Rhinolophus ferrumequinum: one gene and its partners. The protein of the gene in region 2 interacts with the protein of the main gene of each other region in a pairwise test. Links are inferred from orthologs where the notes say so. Each region holds a gene or a part of one and is shown on either strand. Other genes may lie near its edges. The genes, in order: MAPKBP1, ADAMTSL4 and LONRF1.

The links.
Region 1: the proteins of ADAMTSL4 (region 2) and MAPKBP1 interact in binary tests that used the Homo sapiens proteins (3 or more experiments, as listed by UniProt). The two-hybrid records come from large-scale screens. The link is inferred for Rhinolophus ferrumequinum from reciprocal best matches to the Homo sapiens genes ADAMTSL4 and MAPKBP1.
Region 3: the proteins of ADAMTSL4 (region 2) and LONRF1 interact in binary tests that used the Homo sapiens proteins (3 or more experiments, as listed by UniProt). The two-hybrid records come from large-scale screens. The link is inferred for Rhinolophus ferrumequinum from reciprocal best matches to the Homo sapiens genes ADAMTSL4 and LONRF1.

The regions. Positions count from the first base shown.
Region 1 is NC_046289.1:63,620,029-63,625,088, forward strand, and holds the start of MAPKBP1 (mitogen-activated protein kinase-binding protein 1), read right to left. Parts: upstream 3,391-5,060; 5' UTR 3,266-3,390; intron 2,724-3,265; 5' UTR 2,635-2,723; coding exon 2,521-2,634; intron 1-2,520. UniProt on the Homo sapiens protein: Negative regulator of NOD2 function. It down-regulates NOD2-induced processes such as activation of NF-kappa-B signaling, IL8 secretion and antibacterial response. Involved in JNK signaling pathway.
Region 2 is NC_046305.1:50,815,129-50,820,188, reverse strand, and holds the start of ADAMTSL4 (ADAMTS-like protein 4), read right to left. Parts: upstream 2,559-5,060; 5' UTR 2,454-2,558; intron 128-2,453; exon of another isoform or gene 105-127; 5' UTR 1-104. UniProt on the Homo sapiens protein: Positive regulation of apoptosis. May facilitate FBN1 microfibril biogenesis.
Region 3 is NC_046287.1:69,225,410-69,230,469, reverse strand, and holds the start of LONRF1 (LON peptidase N-terminal domain and RING finger protein 1), read left to right. Parts: upstream 1-1,952; 5' UTR 1,953-2,055; coding exon 2,056-2,776; intron 2,777-5,060.

The DNA of each region.
Region 1 (5,060 bases), on a different chromosome or scaffold from region 2:
TTATGAAGAAGAAATAAAGAACATGACCATGGACCTTACGAAATAACGATATACATAAAAAAACAATTAAGAGATTGGTTCCAAGGTAGTGGGGCTGGTCAGAGAAGGCCCCGTGGCTCCAATAAATATAGAGTTGGATCTAAAAATAAGTGGAGAATTTGGTAAAAAGGCTACTTTAGACAGAAGGAACAGTATGATTCAAAGCAGCAGGCCATCTGAGGTTAAGAGCTGCATAAAAGCCCTCTGTCACTTCTTCTTTGCCCCTCCTGCCCCCCCAAAAGGCATAGATCTTTTGGCCTTAAAATTTTATTTCAGAGTTAGTTGTCCATGAATCACAAGCTCTCTGACAGTTACCACGATTACCTACAGCCACCACATATTAGAGCAGCTGACAAAGCCTTATACACCAAGTCCTATGTGGGTTACCGTAAGGCAGGCTTTTAGAATCATCTTAGGTAGAGAGTCTTCAGGAAGGAGTGTGGAAAAGCAGGAATCTGTAGGGTCCTAGGCACACAAAGACAGCTACTACTTTTGGGTGCTAAAGATATGCACCAGTACTCTTGCTCTGTCAAACTATTCAAGGGTCATTCAACTTTAGCTAAGTATTTCCTTCATTCACAGCTCTGGGACACACAAAGCCATTTAAAGAATCTGAAGCACTGAATTCCTATTTGAAACACGGTTGTTTAATGGTGATGCCTGGGATGCCTTTTTTCACTGTTTTCCTGGAGAGCTTCCTCTCTTGTCCTCTTGCCTCAGGACTCACAGTTCAAGCATCCCTTCCTCCGTGCAGTCTTTCCTAATTCCCTAAAGCTGATTTGGGTTCCCTCCCCTGTGCTGCCTTTAACACCTTTTGCATACTTCTAGGACAGCACTTACCACATCATGTAATTATTTGTCTACAAGCTTGACCAGCCACAAGCTCCTTGATGGCAAAGATAGTTTTATTCATCCCTGACTCCACACATAATAGGCACACAATAAACATTTGTTGAATGAATTAATGATGAATGACATGGGAAATTTTAAAGAATGGTGGCCATACCTTCTGAATCCCAGACCAAAATTACATTAAGGATTAGCACTGAAGACTAAACTCCCATCATACATTTATACTACCTATACTATTCTGGGTCGGAAAAAGAAGCCATAGCTATGAGAAGATTGCTCTAATACGTAGTGATAGCCATTGCCACGTCACCAGTCAAGGATACCAGTGCTTGCCGTACTAAGAATGACCCAACACGACAAATGAGTGAACAGAGTCAAACCTAAGAACATTTCTGAGTTTCAGGCTCATTCTTTTGCCTCTGAAGAATACGAGCAATGATTAATTAATAGGAGTCCTTGGAAAAGTCACTATGTCCACTGCCACGGATCCTCGTGGCTGATTTCGATTTAATATGCCCTCTGATGAAACATACAGGAAAGTTGTTCACCTTATGACCAAATCCAAGTAAAGTTCTGCTAAGGGACAGGCATCTGAATTAAGTCCTTCCAGAACCCGGCCATGTTGTACATTAGCATCTGAGTCATTCCTTATTGGCTTAACTCATCTCTGAAGAGATACAGGCAAGGCAATCAAATGCTGCTGTCTCAAATGCCTCTCCCTACAGCAATCCTGTACCACGCAAGGCTACTGTGCTTTCTGGCTGCTAATAACGCACAAAAGTCTAACGTGATCCTGTGGAAAACAAAGACCTAGATTCCCTCAGGGATTAAATAAATTTAGTCTACTTTTGTATTCCCAAAGATGCTGGGCGAAACAAAGTTGAAGAAAACAAAGTTGAAGAAACCAACACCCAGACAGCTTGAGGGGATGGAATGGGATTTGGCCTCCGAGGAACTTCTGCAACTTGGTGTGATGTGACTCTTAGCACATAGAGAATGAGATACGCAACGTTCAGGGCAAACCCGGAAAACTGTTTTGAGGCAAGTATTTAGCTCCTTGCATGTTATCATTCCTACGAAGCCAAGAAGCTCCAGTTAAATTAATTTACGTCTCTTGAAGAGACAAATAAATTTGTTTGACCCTAGGCAAGAGCATTTGCCAAGCCAATTTCTCAGACTAAGTGTTTGAGTGTATTTCTTTCTGCTACTACTGTCTTACATAACCTCGCTGTGACACTAACACTTGCAGCTACATTAGTCACAGCTTAGTCCTTCACAAAACATGTGGTCCCATTACCCTCTTCCAGGAAGGGAAACTGAGTCATAGCATATTGACTAGCTTCCCCAAACACAGACTTAGCTTGTCATGAGGCCACAATTGAATCCAGGTTGCCTTTCTCCTGTTCCTCTTTTCATGAATAAATCTTAGCATGTCCACCCCTGCTGCTCTTTTTCATTCAACCTAAAAGGACATCATTGCTTTCTCGAGAGGCAGAGATAGGCACACTTGATCCTTTGGAGCCAACAGGAGCCTCTAGAACTCCTCTTTCCCAAGAAAGAGGAAGAAGAGGAACATGGAGCAGAGGAAGGGAGGATTGGAAAGAAGTGGCTCCCCATACCAGGACTCACCTTGGAGCTGAGGTCCTCTCGGCGATTTCCTGCCTTACTCCTGCGTAATTTGATGGATGGGGATCGCAGCAGGTTCTTGATGCGGCTGGTAATGGTTGACCCTTCCACAGCCATGACAGTACCTGGCCCAATCTTGGGACTTGTCTCAACAGCAGCACTGCCTTTCCACGCCAAAGGGTCTTCCAGTATGCCCTCTCACTGACCTGAGATGGATGGTAGAGGCCACCTTACTTTCTGCCTAGCAGTGTCTGCAGCTCTTATCTCTAGGTATTGCCCTTTCCCCTCTCCTCGTCCCCACCTTCAAGCCCTGTGCGGTTCCTTTCAACGTTTGAAGGACAGACCCGTGAAAAGGGGGGTAAAAACTCTGAGCTGCAAAGAAATGACAGGCCCATGCCGGCCAGAGGCGTTTAAACTGGAGGGATGGATGGGATCTAGTAGGGCTAATGGCTGGTCTGGTCACCGTTAATTTCAAAGTGCTCCCATGGCAACTGCAATGTCCAAGGAAGGAGGCCACCGACGAGTCCCTCCGGGGGCCTGGGCACCTGCGCTGGAGGCCGCGAGGACACTCGGCGTGACGGGGCTCGCTGTGGCCCCGCAACCCGCTCTGCCTCGGGAGCCTCCCTCCCCCACCCACGACCCTCTGGAGCTCCCTGTCGGCCCCCCACAGGGGCCCTGCACCTTTCTTTTTCACCTCCCTCAGAAGCCCCTGCTACTCGCCAGCGCCCCCGTTCGGACCCAGCCTCACCAGCCCCGGGGCCCGAGGGCCGAGCCGCTCACAGCGCCCTCAGGCATCGCGCTCGGCGATTTCAGCTCCACAGTCGCAGCAGCAACAGCAGCAGCAGCAGCTATGGTGGCACCAGCGGCTCAAAACGCGAACTACCGCCTGGGCCAAGTTACGGGCTGGGTAGGCGGGGCCGAGGCGAGGAGGGCGTTCCCAGAGTGGACGAATAACGTCTGTGGGGGCGGAGCCAATGAAGCGCCTAGGAAGCTGAGGACCTGGGACTCGAAAACCACGGATTCCTCACAACGTAGTCGCGGGTATCGCTCTTAAAGGAAGATCTACAGAACATGGCTTCAGAATTGAAAGAACCAAGCCTTTTATGGTATTATGAGACCTGGCCCCCCAGAGTACTGCATTCCCCGGGGCCCCAAGGATAGTACCACGCCCCCAGGGTGCCACAGTTGGCATTTGATAGGCCCGAGGGACCAGAGCTGAAACTAACTCCTAGCTCAGAATTACAAGATTGAGACACAGCCATAAGTCTCTGCTCCCATCGACCCCAAGTGCTGGGACTTAAAGCGGTTAGAATAGTTGTTCGGCAGCGCGTTAACCTACGTATAAATGACTCTCTGGCGTAACTTTTTCGATTGCTAAGTGTTATTAACTGGGCAACCTGATTGGCCATGATGGAATGAAGGGGAGGGAGATGATTGCCTTGAATAGAGCTTTAGGCGTATCGGGGAGAGCAAAGACAAGTGAATGTGCCTACGGGACAATTTGTTTCCTGGTTTCTTTAGTCTCTTATGTCCCACCGCGCTCTCTCACCCAGTTAAACAGGACTTTGTTGCTCCAGATCTTTTCCTGTTCCTGTCAAAATTTACTCGTGAAACCTTTTCCCTAGTACTATTTTAGCGAGGTCACTGTCAAGCTTGCTGATACTAGATTTAGTGGTATAGTTTTTCTAGCTTACGGGGGTTGGGGGCGCGTTTACAGTATTATTTCACAGGTGTCACAGCCTAAGAATTTATTTTCTAAGCCTGATTTTCTGCCTCTTCGCTACTTCAAGAAATTACCTTATGAAAAGGTTAGCCTAAGCCAAAACACTGCGGCCCAGAGAAATAGTACAGCGATGTAACTGTCTCACCCTACCTAGATCCTTGGAACCCCTGGGGGATGTTAGCAAGAGGGAAGGACCCCTAAACCCATTGCTGTGCATGTCTTGTACAGCCAAGTGGCAAACAGCTTTGTGCTTGTGTGTATTGTACCGTGTTTCCCCGAAAATAAGACCTAGCCAGACGATCAGCTCTAGTACGTCTTTTGGAGCAAAAAATATAAGACTAGCAATAGCTATCAGTGGCATGAGGTATCCCCTTTCCTTCAACCATGCACTGCAGATGTAACGAAAAGTGGAATTTTCATATTTCCCAAATGTGGACGAAGGAGGCAAGAGCCATTAGGCACCACAGTATGATATAGGGGGTTGGCTCTTTCAACTTGCTAGTTTGTGATTTTTATCTCAATAGGGGTAGGAGCCAACATAACACTAATAAATGGTGCCACCTGGTGTCCTTACCCGTGTGCAGCATTCCCAGAAACTGCCATCTCCATCTTGGAGTTGTCCCTAATTCGCTCCAGATTGTTTGTGTCCACTAGTGGTTTTCTCACTCCTGGCCAGGTAAATGGGTTTACAAAGTGTCATTGGTCATTTCCTGTCCAGCACTATACTAGTTTGTCCCCTTAGAGAAAATGTTCCCCAAATTACTCTCATCTGAAGCTGAAGCTGCAAAGGCAAATTCAAGTTTCTGCTTTGTCTAAGATG
Region 2 (5,060 bases):
TGACTGCTCCGGGCAAGGGAGGAGGGGACCAGAAGTAAACACACTACTCCAGCATCTGGACGTGTAGGCGTGTGCTCTGGTGATTACCCCTGGTCTCCAGAAAGCTGGGGGTTGGGAGGGGTGACTCCTCAGAAGGAAAGACATCTCGGAATGAGGAGGGTGGGGTGGGGGAAGCCTGGCCCACCCCTTAGGATCCTAAGGGTGAGCGTGAGAGGGACGCGGCCCTTGTCCAGCTGCTGAGGCGAAAGGGTGGGAGTCTCAAGCTTAGTCTCCTCCCCTTGGCCCTGTAGGGACTTCTCAGCTTCTCCCTTATCCAGGTAGGCCAGCTCAGGCACGGGCATCTTTCTTAGGATGGTTTTCATCTGGCCCCCACTCCCGCCCTGCCCTCCCAGAGGACCTGCGAGGAGGAAGAGGGAGGCTCCAGGGAGGACATGCCAGACGCCCCCTCGCCCCCTCAAGGAGCTGACATGAAGCCCCTTGGGCTTTCTGTTGCCTAGCTGCCTCTCAGCCTTTTCTTCCCTGAGCTAAGCTCCTCTGGAACACTCAGGCATCACAAAAGTGCTTCCATCACTTTTTAGCCAAGGGATAAACTAAGTGGGCTGATGCTTAATCTCTAAAGAAGCAGGTGATTTGCCCACTGCGATTTAACCTCCCTTTAGGAGCCAGCATCCAGCCTTGGTTCAACGAGGGCTTATTTCAGGTGCCACTATGATGGACTGGGGGTACCTGGGAAGGAGAGATGCAGCTAGAGCTGCCATCGCTCCCCAACCACAGGCCTAGCATTCTGAAGAGTCCAGAAGTCCATCCTGAAGTCTAGCGTGGATCAGTCAGAGAAGTGGCACTTGGAACCCTCCCCTGGTCTCACAGCCCGATTTGCCCACTGCTTCCCCTTACCCTCCAGCCCCTCCTGCTCAATACCAGCCCTTCCCACCCCCACTTTCATCCATTAGTTCTGCTTTCCAGGAAAAAAAAAATGTTTCTGTTGGATCTGAAAGGCACCCGGGAAAGGAGTCCAGGGAGCCAGTGCCGAGGTGGGCCAGCCCAGGGGCCGGAAAATGACAGAGGGAAGCGCAGGAATGTGCGTGGGGATAGCAACACTCAGCCCCACTCCCCTCCCTGAGACCCCAGGACTTGGGAATTTCGGGGCAGGAGGACAGTGGTTGAACCTGACCCACAGGGTCACCCCAGCTGCTTGCGGTTGGGGAGGGGGTTGCTGATGGCTTCGCCTTCCCCTGGCTGGGCTGACCACTGAGGTCAGCAACCCCGCCCTGATGGGGGCGGTGGAGGGGCTCCAGAGAAGGGCCAAAGTTCCACCCAAACCTTCCACTCTCTGCCTGGCTCAATCACTTGAAGTTGAAGGGGGTGAGGATCACTGCTGGCCCTTTCTCTGCTGCGGGGTCCCCTCGCCACGCCCTTGCTGCTTCCCCAGGTCTGTATCTTGCTGTCTCTCCATGGGTCTACCCAGTACACATAGTCCTGTCCTGAGCTGGGCTTGGCTTTGGCAGTTCCCTGGAGAAGTGAGGGGTGGGGGGTGGGGGTGACGTGAGCTCCTGGGGCCTGGGCCAGGCCTGGCTCTCTCTCTGGAAAAGTCCTACCCCAGCCCCCCTGCACAGCTAGGCAGGGGGCCGACACCCTCTCCAGTGTGGAAACAGGACACATTTTGTGCTTCTCACCCCTTTTCATGTCTCTTATCTGGTGTCTCTCACTGCCCAGGGTGAGGAAAGGGGAGGTCAGAAGTGGTCACCAGTGCCAGGCTGGACACTGGTCAGGACAAACCTGGGCTCCTCCTGGCCACACCTCCACACTGGCCAGTGAAGATCAAGGAGGAGAGACATGGGCAGGGCTAATCCCTTCACCCCCAGAGGGACCCACCTCTGGGAAATAGGAGGCTCTGCTGGGGCAAGGGCTAGACGACACGTTTCTGGCTGGCTGCTGCGGAGAGTCCCTGCCTTGGGTAGGACTCCTTGGTCCTCACTATGCCCTCCACTCCTGGGTCCCGGAGGACCATCCCAACAGGTGTCTTTCCTTCTGCTCATCAGGCTGAGCTGGATCACCGGCACCCACCTGTTGCCCTCTCAGCGCCCCTGTCCCCCAACTCTAGGAGCGACGGGGGTGGAGGCACATATCCTCCAGGGGAGGGCAGGAGGCGCCGGCGCGTGCGGGGAGGTCCTAGGTATGTTTTCCAACTTTACTATGTGACTTAGTAGGAATTTTGGCTGATTCTCATCCCAGATGACAGGGACAGAGTTCCACGGGATCAGAGCCCCCTCCCCAGGAATTTGACCCCAGGGACTGGAAGATCTTCCGAGGCTGTAAGAGCTGGGGCCGGGGTCGTGGCTATGGCGCGACCTGGGGCGCAAGGAGCGGGGGCGGCGCGGGTGCGCGGGGCGGGTGGCCTAACGGGACCCGGGAGAGAGGGCGCCGGGGCCGGGGGTCCCAGGGAGGGTCTGTACCTGCTCTGCGCGGCCCCGGCGGCCCGTTAACCCCTCTGCGCCCGGGCGCTCTCTCGAGTCAGCCTGACTCCGCGGCGGCCACTGCGGCCCCTGAGCCCGGCTCGGGACACTGCCGCCTCCGGCCGCGGCTCCGCCCCCGCCCCGCCCCCGCCCCGCCCGCCACGCGCCCAGCCAGCGCCCCTCCGCGGCCCCCGGGTGGGGGCGGGCCACCCCCAAACCCTCCTCGCCAGGGCCACCCACCCGGGGCTGCGGGCCTTGGTCACCCCTGCGTGCGGGGCGCCTACCGATGGCTCGAGGGGGCGAAACCGGGACGGTCCCAGCCGGTTCGGCGGCAGCCGTCTGCCGGGCACTGCCCTTGGGCCCGTGTGCTGGGCCCACTGGAGTTCGGGACCCCAGGACCCCGGCCTCCGGATCGGCTCCGAGTGGGTGATGCGAACGCCGGGCCAAAAAGTTTGGTGGCGCCTGTCCCGGAGCGACGCGGGCGAGTCCAGGCTCCAGGTGGGGGCTGCGTACCCGGCTGGCATGGTCCCGCGCGACCCCAGACCCGCGTGGGTCAAGGCGCTCTCCTTCACGCAGCCTCTCGCGCTAGCCCGGGCATCCCTGTCTCTCCCAATTTGAGTCGTGCATCGTGCGCTGCTGATGGCTCAGGGACCTCTAGATGAGCCTCGGTTTCTTCACCCATAAAATGTTATACACGGGGCGCAGTGGGACAGATGCGCTGACTCAGCAGTCACGATCTGGATTTGAATCTCAGCTCGAGCACTTACCTGCCAACTCTGGGGGCCCTTCTGTGCTGCAGTTTCCTCATCTGTAAAATGGGGCTAATCTGAGATATACATATATATATATATATATATATATATATATATATATATATACACACACACACACACACACACATACATATATAGTAAGCTTGGAAATGTGTCTATATCCATTCATATTCGGAAGAATGCACCCCAAACTCAGACTATGTGGCCACAGCTGAGGAGAGGTGTGGGGTTGGGGAGGGAAAAAACGGGCTTTCGCACTTTACACTATATGTTTATGTGTTGTTTGAATTTGTAACCATAAGTGTTATTAGTTACGTTTAAAAATAAATAATATATATATATACAATGGCTGGCATAGAGTAGCTAATAAATGGTCACTATTTTTAAATTTTTATCTGCCATTTACTCACGAGCCACAGTCCTGTATTTTCGGATCTACTCAGTATTCCAAAGCTTTTGTTTTGTTCAGTGACTTGTCAATATTTTAAAACCAGGATATTGTATAACTTCTCTTTAAAAATTAAAGACATAGGGGTGGCCGGATGGCTCAGTTGGTTAGAGCAGGAGCTCTGAACATGGTTGCTGGTTCGATTCCCACATGGGCCAGTGAGCTGCGCCCTCCACAACTAGATTGAAGGACGAGTAGGAGCTGATGGGCCCTGGAGAAACACACTGTTCCCCAATAAAATTTTTAAAAAATAAAGACATAAAAACAGAAGTTCTAATCAACGTTGTTCTGCATCCCCATAAAATAACAGGGTTTCAGATGCTCCCACCCAACTAACAGTGAGCACCTTTGGTACTTGGTGGTGAGGCCACAGTTAGATGATAATCTCTGGCCTCGAGGAGCTAGATCTAGCTGGGGACAGACAGCCATGGGCACATAAATACTGGACTCAACATTAGCAAATGTTATCTCTAAGAGATGAGGGAAGTGAAAATATAAAAGCCTTTTAAAATGCAAGAACTGGATCCTTATTTGAAGTTTAACGTGCATATTTTGTTTCCTCAGTAAATCCCTTTTTATAGATTGCATTTGTGTTTTGTTTTTTTGTGGATTTGTAGGATTAAAAGAAATATTTGAATTGGAATGTTATAGAACGGACAAATGAGTCCCAGTGCCCAGGCTTGCTCTCCAGGCTTCTCCAATCAAGCTCAGAGGTGCATAGGCAGGTGGGTAAACTGGCTGGGGACACCCGAGATCCCTGTGATTTTGTGGCAATGCAGGACAATGTTACTAGTGCTTTTATTTTTCTAATTTTGTTTTTCAAGAGAAGTGATAAAATACTGTTTTTAAGATATTGAAAAGTCACGACAACAACAACAAAACTTTTAGACACCAAGGTCAGGTTTGTCTGTAGGCCTCAAGTTTTGCCTCTCCTTAGAACACTCTCAGTCTTGCTGGGTCCTGTGTTTTCAAAGAGGTGAATGCCCCCCTCCCAGGAGGGGTGGTTTATCTAGGGACTGTGGGTGACACACAGTCCTAACCAAGAGGCATATTTATAGTCATGGATTTGGAGCGGGAAGCCCCTTTGCTCAGACCTCAGAGTACAACGCAGGTGACGAAATGCCCAGCCCACAGGGGCACAGAAGATATTTTAGGTCAGGGACCTTTCAGTGCCCTGCAGTCACACCCCAGCGGCATTCTACAAGGAGGCAAGTTGCCGGAAGATGGCCCTGAAGACAGCAGAGTGGGAAGGGAGCCGGGAGGATGGAAACGGTCTGCCTTTGACATTTGTAACTGCTGTGAACTGAAGGTCAGAAATAGTCCTTTCCATTAAGAAGTGGCTGCAGACCAAAGAGCTCGCGAGATTTACTACAGCTGTCACCTCCC
Region 3 (5,060 bases), on a different chromosome or scaffold from region 2:
CAGTCCCATTTTTTCCCTCTCCCATTATACTTGTACCATTTTATTTCACACCAGAATCAAATGTGGTTGTCACATTTACTAGGGAAAGAAACTCCAAAGGACAAATGAAACTTTATATTATTTTCTGAACCATACATGACAAAACCTGATTTAAACTGTATTTAATAAGATATGCATGTTCACCAATTTTTCATACTTCTGGTGTAATCATGAACATACTTACTGCTCAGTAATTTACTATTTACTATTGCACATTTTGCAAGCTGCTGTTAAGGACAGGAACGCATCGCAAACGTCAATGTCCACGTACCTAAGGATACCTGTTGTACCACTTATGGTTTCAAGTCTCAGTGAGTATGTGGGCATCTGACTGAAGTCATTCTGCTTATTGAAGGAAGGTAGTAATTTAGGGGGTTAGAATTAGGTTCAAGATTATGCTCATGAATTAATCCCAATATTCCCCACCTCAAATGACTAGAAGTTGCTCCTTGGGTCTTAGCTGTAATTTGCTCGGGGTTTGACGTGAGTGATAAACTTGTTTGCCTCTGCACACTGTTTGGAACAAAAGCCTCAGCTTTTCCTCAGTTAGCTTTTTCCTTGTTCCTTTTGGGACAATATATCTCCATCTCCTCCGAAGTTACACAATTTGCTCATTGTGTAGTAAAAACACATGTAACTCAAAGCACTTTTGAGCGCAATTACCTGTTCTGTATAAAGATGGATATTAAACGTTGGCCGATTTCAGACATAGCATGCTCAGGCTAACATTCCATCTAGCAGCTTATTTTGAAAATCTCATGTAAAATAGTATTTCTAAGCTCTAACATGGTAACATAATAGTAGAATCAGAGTTAGGTGATCTTAAAACCTCTGTATAATATTAGCAATGTGATTTTGGGCAAATAACTTGCCCTCTCTGGGCCATTGTTTCTAACCATTCAAAAAATAACTAAAAGTTCTAAGTCACTTTCCAGCATTAACAATCTAGAACCCTATAATCAGATCTGTAAATATTTCAACTGAGAGCTTTAAACTCACTGCCATAAAGTTTAAAGAAAATATAGAAACGGATCTTTTTTTGTCAGCAGAACTGCAGATTCTGCTTGGGTTCTAGTTATACGGTGATAACTATGTGAAAAGCATTCATCCTGGTGTTTACTCTTCAAAAACGCCAAATATGGGTCTTTGCTAGCTGTAGGGCAGTGAATGAGATGTGGAGGGTAGAACTGACACCTCGGGAACGTGTGGGCTCTCTCCCTTGAGGTGGGGGTGAGTTTTAAACAGCAAAGAAAACAGTAACTTGGCACCACGGAATACTGTCTTGCCCTCTGGAAGGAGTCACCTCAGGAACGTGGGTGGGGTTATATTATTTCTCAAGTTGATCGACTCTAGACCTGAGGAGTCACAAAGTCATCAGACTGACTTTACGCATTCCTAGGCCCTCTACGTGTCTATCTGTAACTTGGGCATAAACTAATGAAAATGCAGATTTGTACCTGACAACCCTGACACTACAGCCGGAGGCTCTCACAAAGGGCGCGGGTCCCAACTCGGGTGGGCGGGGATTTAGGGCTTAGTCCCACGAGGCCAGCCTCTTGGCAGAAGACCGCCGAGGAAGCAGGCATTAGGGGAGAAGCCGTGGCAGGTGGGGGGCTTTCGGCTGCGAAGGGAGGGCGATGAAGGTCTGGGCTCCTTCGGGCTTTGTTCAGTTACAAGCCAGGCCCTTCTTTCGGGGGAAGCCAATTAGATCCCCGCTGGTGGATCATCTGACCTCCTGTCCCTCGCCAGGAGGGGCTTCGGGAGGGGCGGGGCCAGCCAGTCGGCCCCCTGGGGACCCGGCCGGCGGCGGTGCGGGGGAGTCGCGGGTGCTCTAGCGGAGCCCGGCCCCACCCCGCGCACGCCAGGCCCCGCCCCCGGGGCTTCCCGGGCGCGCGCCGCCCCGCCGTGTCCGCGCGCCACGCCCCCCTGCTCGCGGGCCGCGTGCGGAACCGCGCGTCGGGGAGACTCCGGGACCGTGGCGGCGGGCGGCGGCGGCAGAGCAGCCCTCTGCGGGCCATGTCTTCTCCGGCCGTTGCGAGGAGCTCCCCCGGAGGGAGCCGGGAGATGGCCCCCAGGCCGCGGAGCCGAGGCCGGTTCTGGGAATTGGGCGGCGGCAGCGGGGACCGGCTGGAGCGCGCGGCCGCGGAGTCGGAGTGCTGGGAGCTGCTACTCCGCCGCGGCGAGCTGCTGGCTTTGGGCGGCCACCTGAAGGGAGCGCTGGAGGCGTACGCGGCGGCGCTGCGCCGAGGGGCCCCGGTCAGGCCCGAGTGCCTGGGCACCCTGGTGGACTGCCTGGTGCTCAACTACCGGCTCCGCCATGGGCTGGGCTGGAGCGCGACCCCGGCAGCGGGCGCGGACTCCGGCGCCGGTGGGCTGCTCAGCTGCCTGGGCTGCCGGGACTTTCTGAGCGAGCCGGTGACCGTGCCATGTGGCCACAGCTACTGCCGCCGCTGCCTGCGGAGAGAGCTCCGCTCCCGCTGCCGCCTCTGCCGGGACCGGCTGCCACCCGCCGTCACCGCTGCCACTGATGCTGAGGGCACCGCTCCGCGGTCCCCGCCTCTGGCCACCGCCATCGCCACCTCTGGCTTCAGAACCAGCGTCGTCCTCAACCACCTGGCCGAGAAGTGGTTCCCGGGCCAGCGGGAGCGAGCCCGGGCGACCGGCCGGGTCGCAGAGCTGCTGCACCAGGGGCGCTACCGGGAGGCCCTGGCCGCCGCCTGCGAGGCGCTGCGAGCAGGTGACTGCGCGGGGATGCGGCGCGAGCCCGGCCGACCCCACCCTCCTGTCGGGATGGGATAGCTACCCAAGCTCGTCTGTGCCCCCGGGAGGTGTCTCTGCTTCCCCAAGGCTGCCTGACTCCCTTGTGTCGGGTCTCGGGCTCCTCGAGAGTATGGGAGGGGGCGGCGCCCTGGGGTGCTTCGGTCACAATGGGGATCGCCGTCGGAGCCGACTGTGACGCGGCGCGGGGAGGGGCGCACAGGCGCGGGGTTCCCTCGGACGCGGCCTTGCGGTCTGGCGGGCGCCTCCTGAGCGGAGTGGGGGCGAGGGCGCCGGAGCGCGGGATGGGTGGGAGTTGGGCGAGCCGGAGCGGCCGCTCGCTTCCTGCCGCGCTCTTTCCGGTAATTGGCCGCTCCGCAAACGACAGCCGGGGCGGAGAGAGAGGATCCTAGGCGGGCAACGTTTACCTTTGTCTCCCACAAAAGTCACTGGGGCAATTTGGAAGCCGCGGGAGGGCAGAATTGCATAAGCTGTGTGTGTATGGGGGGGGGTGCGTTGTGTAACGGGTGACGTCCGGTGGGCGTGGCGGGAGCTCGGCGCCCGCACCCAGCACCCGGGGGCCCCGCTGGCCACTCGGCTCTGGGCGGGTGTCCGAGCTGCCCAGGGGTGTTCAAGCCTTCCCTGAAAATGCCTGCGGAATTGGTTCCTCTTGATAGTTTCAACCTGCCTATTTGAAATCATACTTATTTCATCAACATATATGTGCTTTGTTTCGAATACACCTAATTCACGGTCCAAGATAAAGAGGTAGTCTCATCGAGTTCTTTGCCACGCTTCTGTTTGCCTTTCCACTCTTGATCAAGTTGTGGGGATAGGCCTTTAGATCTTTTGTCTATTTCTTCACCTCGGAGAAGCAGCTTCGGCCACCTAACCTAGCTTAGCACTTTTCTTAAGGTGGTTTTAGGCTGTGGAAGGGGACATTTCAGACTTACCTATGTAAAATGAAGAATTGTTATTTAAATCGGTTGTTCTCTGCCTGGGGGAGTTTACCCCCCAGGGGACATTATCTGGAACTGTATCTGGAGACATTTTTCATTGCCACCCCTTGTGGGATTGGTGCTGGTACATCCAGTGGGTGGAGGCCAGGGATGCTGTTAAACGTCCTGAAATGCACAGGACTGCCTCCCACACAATCGCCAGGCCCCAAATGTCAACAGTGTCATTGTTAAACCTTGTGTTAAATCAGCGTATTTCAAGCTTAGCATCTATGATGACTTGAAGTAATACTTGGAAAATAATCCCCAAGAAAATAGAAATCTAAAATGTCACGGTTGCTAGCTCCCGGATTGTGAAAGAATTCAAGAGGCACAAAGGAATAGAAGTTACAAAGTTTATTTAAAAAGAGAAACACTGGCAGAGGAGTTGCCAGGGCCAGAGTGTGGAGTAGACCGCTGCCCTGAGTTTCTGTTTAGCTGGGATTTTATACTTTTCTAACCAGGATGTAATTTGCTTGGGCCTGTAGTGGAATCTTCTATTGTGTTCAGCATTGCCTTTTGCCTATTGGGGTGGGGGGAGGTGTGGTTAAACTTGTTATCACAGTCTTTGTTGTGTAAACTTAAGTTAGAGCACCCCCTTAGCCCCCCCCCAGTCAAAAGACTACCCCCTAGGCTGGTTTCTGTTTACCCATACCTGTCTTATAAAATAGAAATTGATGTTAGATATTAGGTAAATTTATAAGCTATGTAACTGAAAGTATTTTTTTTATGGTTCTTTTACTCTAAGTGCTTATTAGACCTTTTTGCTTAGAATATATCAAGTTATTTAACACCTTTAGAGCTCAAAGCATAAACTTGGCATGTTTTCATATTCTTTCACTATTTTTATGGGGATGTTAAACCCAGAACAAAAAAGAACTATTTGGAATACAAAATTCTGATACAGACAACTCTGTGGCTTTGGCTGAACAGATTTTAAGAGGGGTGGTACAGACCATCAAGGCCATGGTCCTTATTTTGAAAGTGAAGAAGCAGGATCTAGGGCAGTGAAATGACTTGTCCAGAGCCCACAGCTAACTGGTTGTAGAGGGAACACTGTATTTTCCTTCCAGTTCTAAATGTTGGAGTACTCATCCTGCCTTTATAGCTCATCCAATGAAAATTTTTAATATAAATTTCCAAGGAAGATTTTTTTTTTTGGCATTAGTATAAAATAAAGGATGAAATTTATCAACAGCACTGTCTAGTATTATGATTAGTGATTTGACCTCTTAAAGTAGTTGCTTCATAAGAATTCAGGTCCTAATC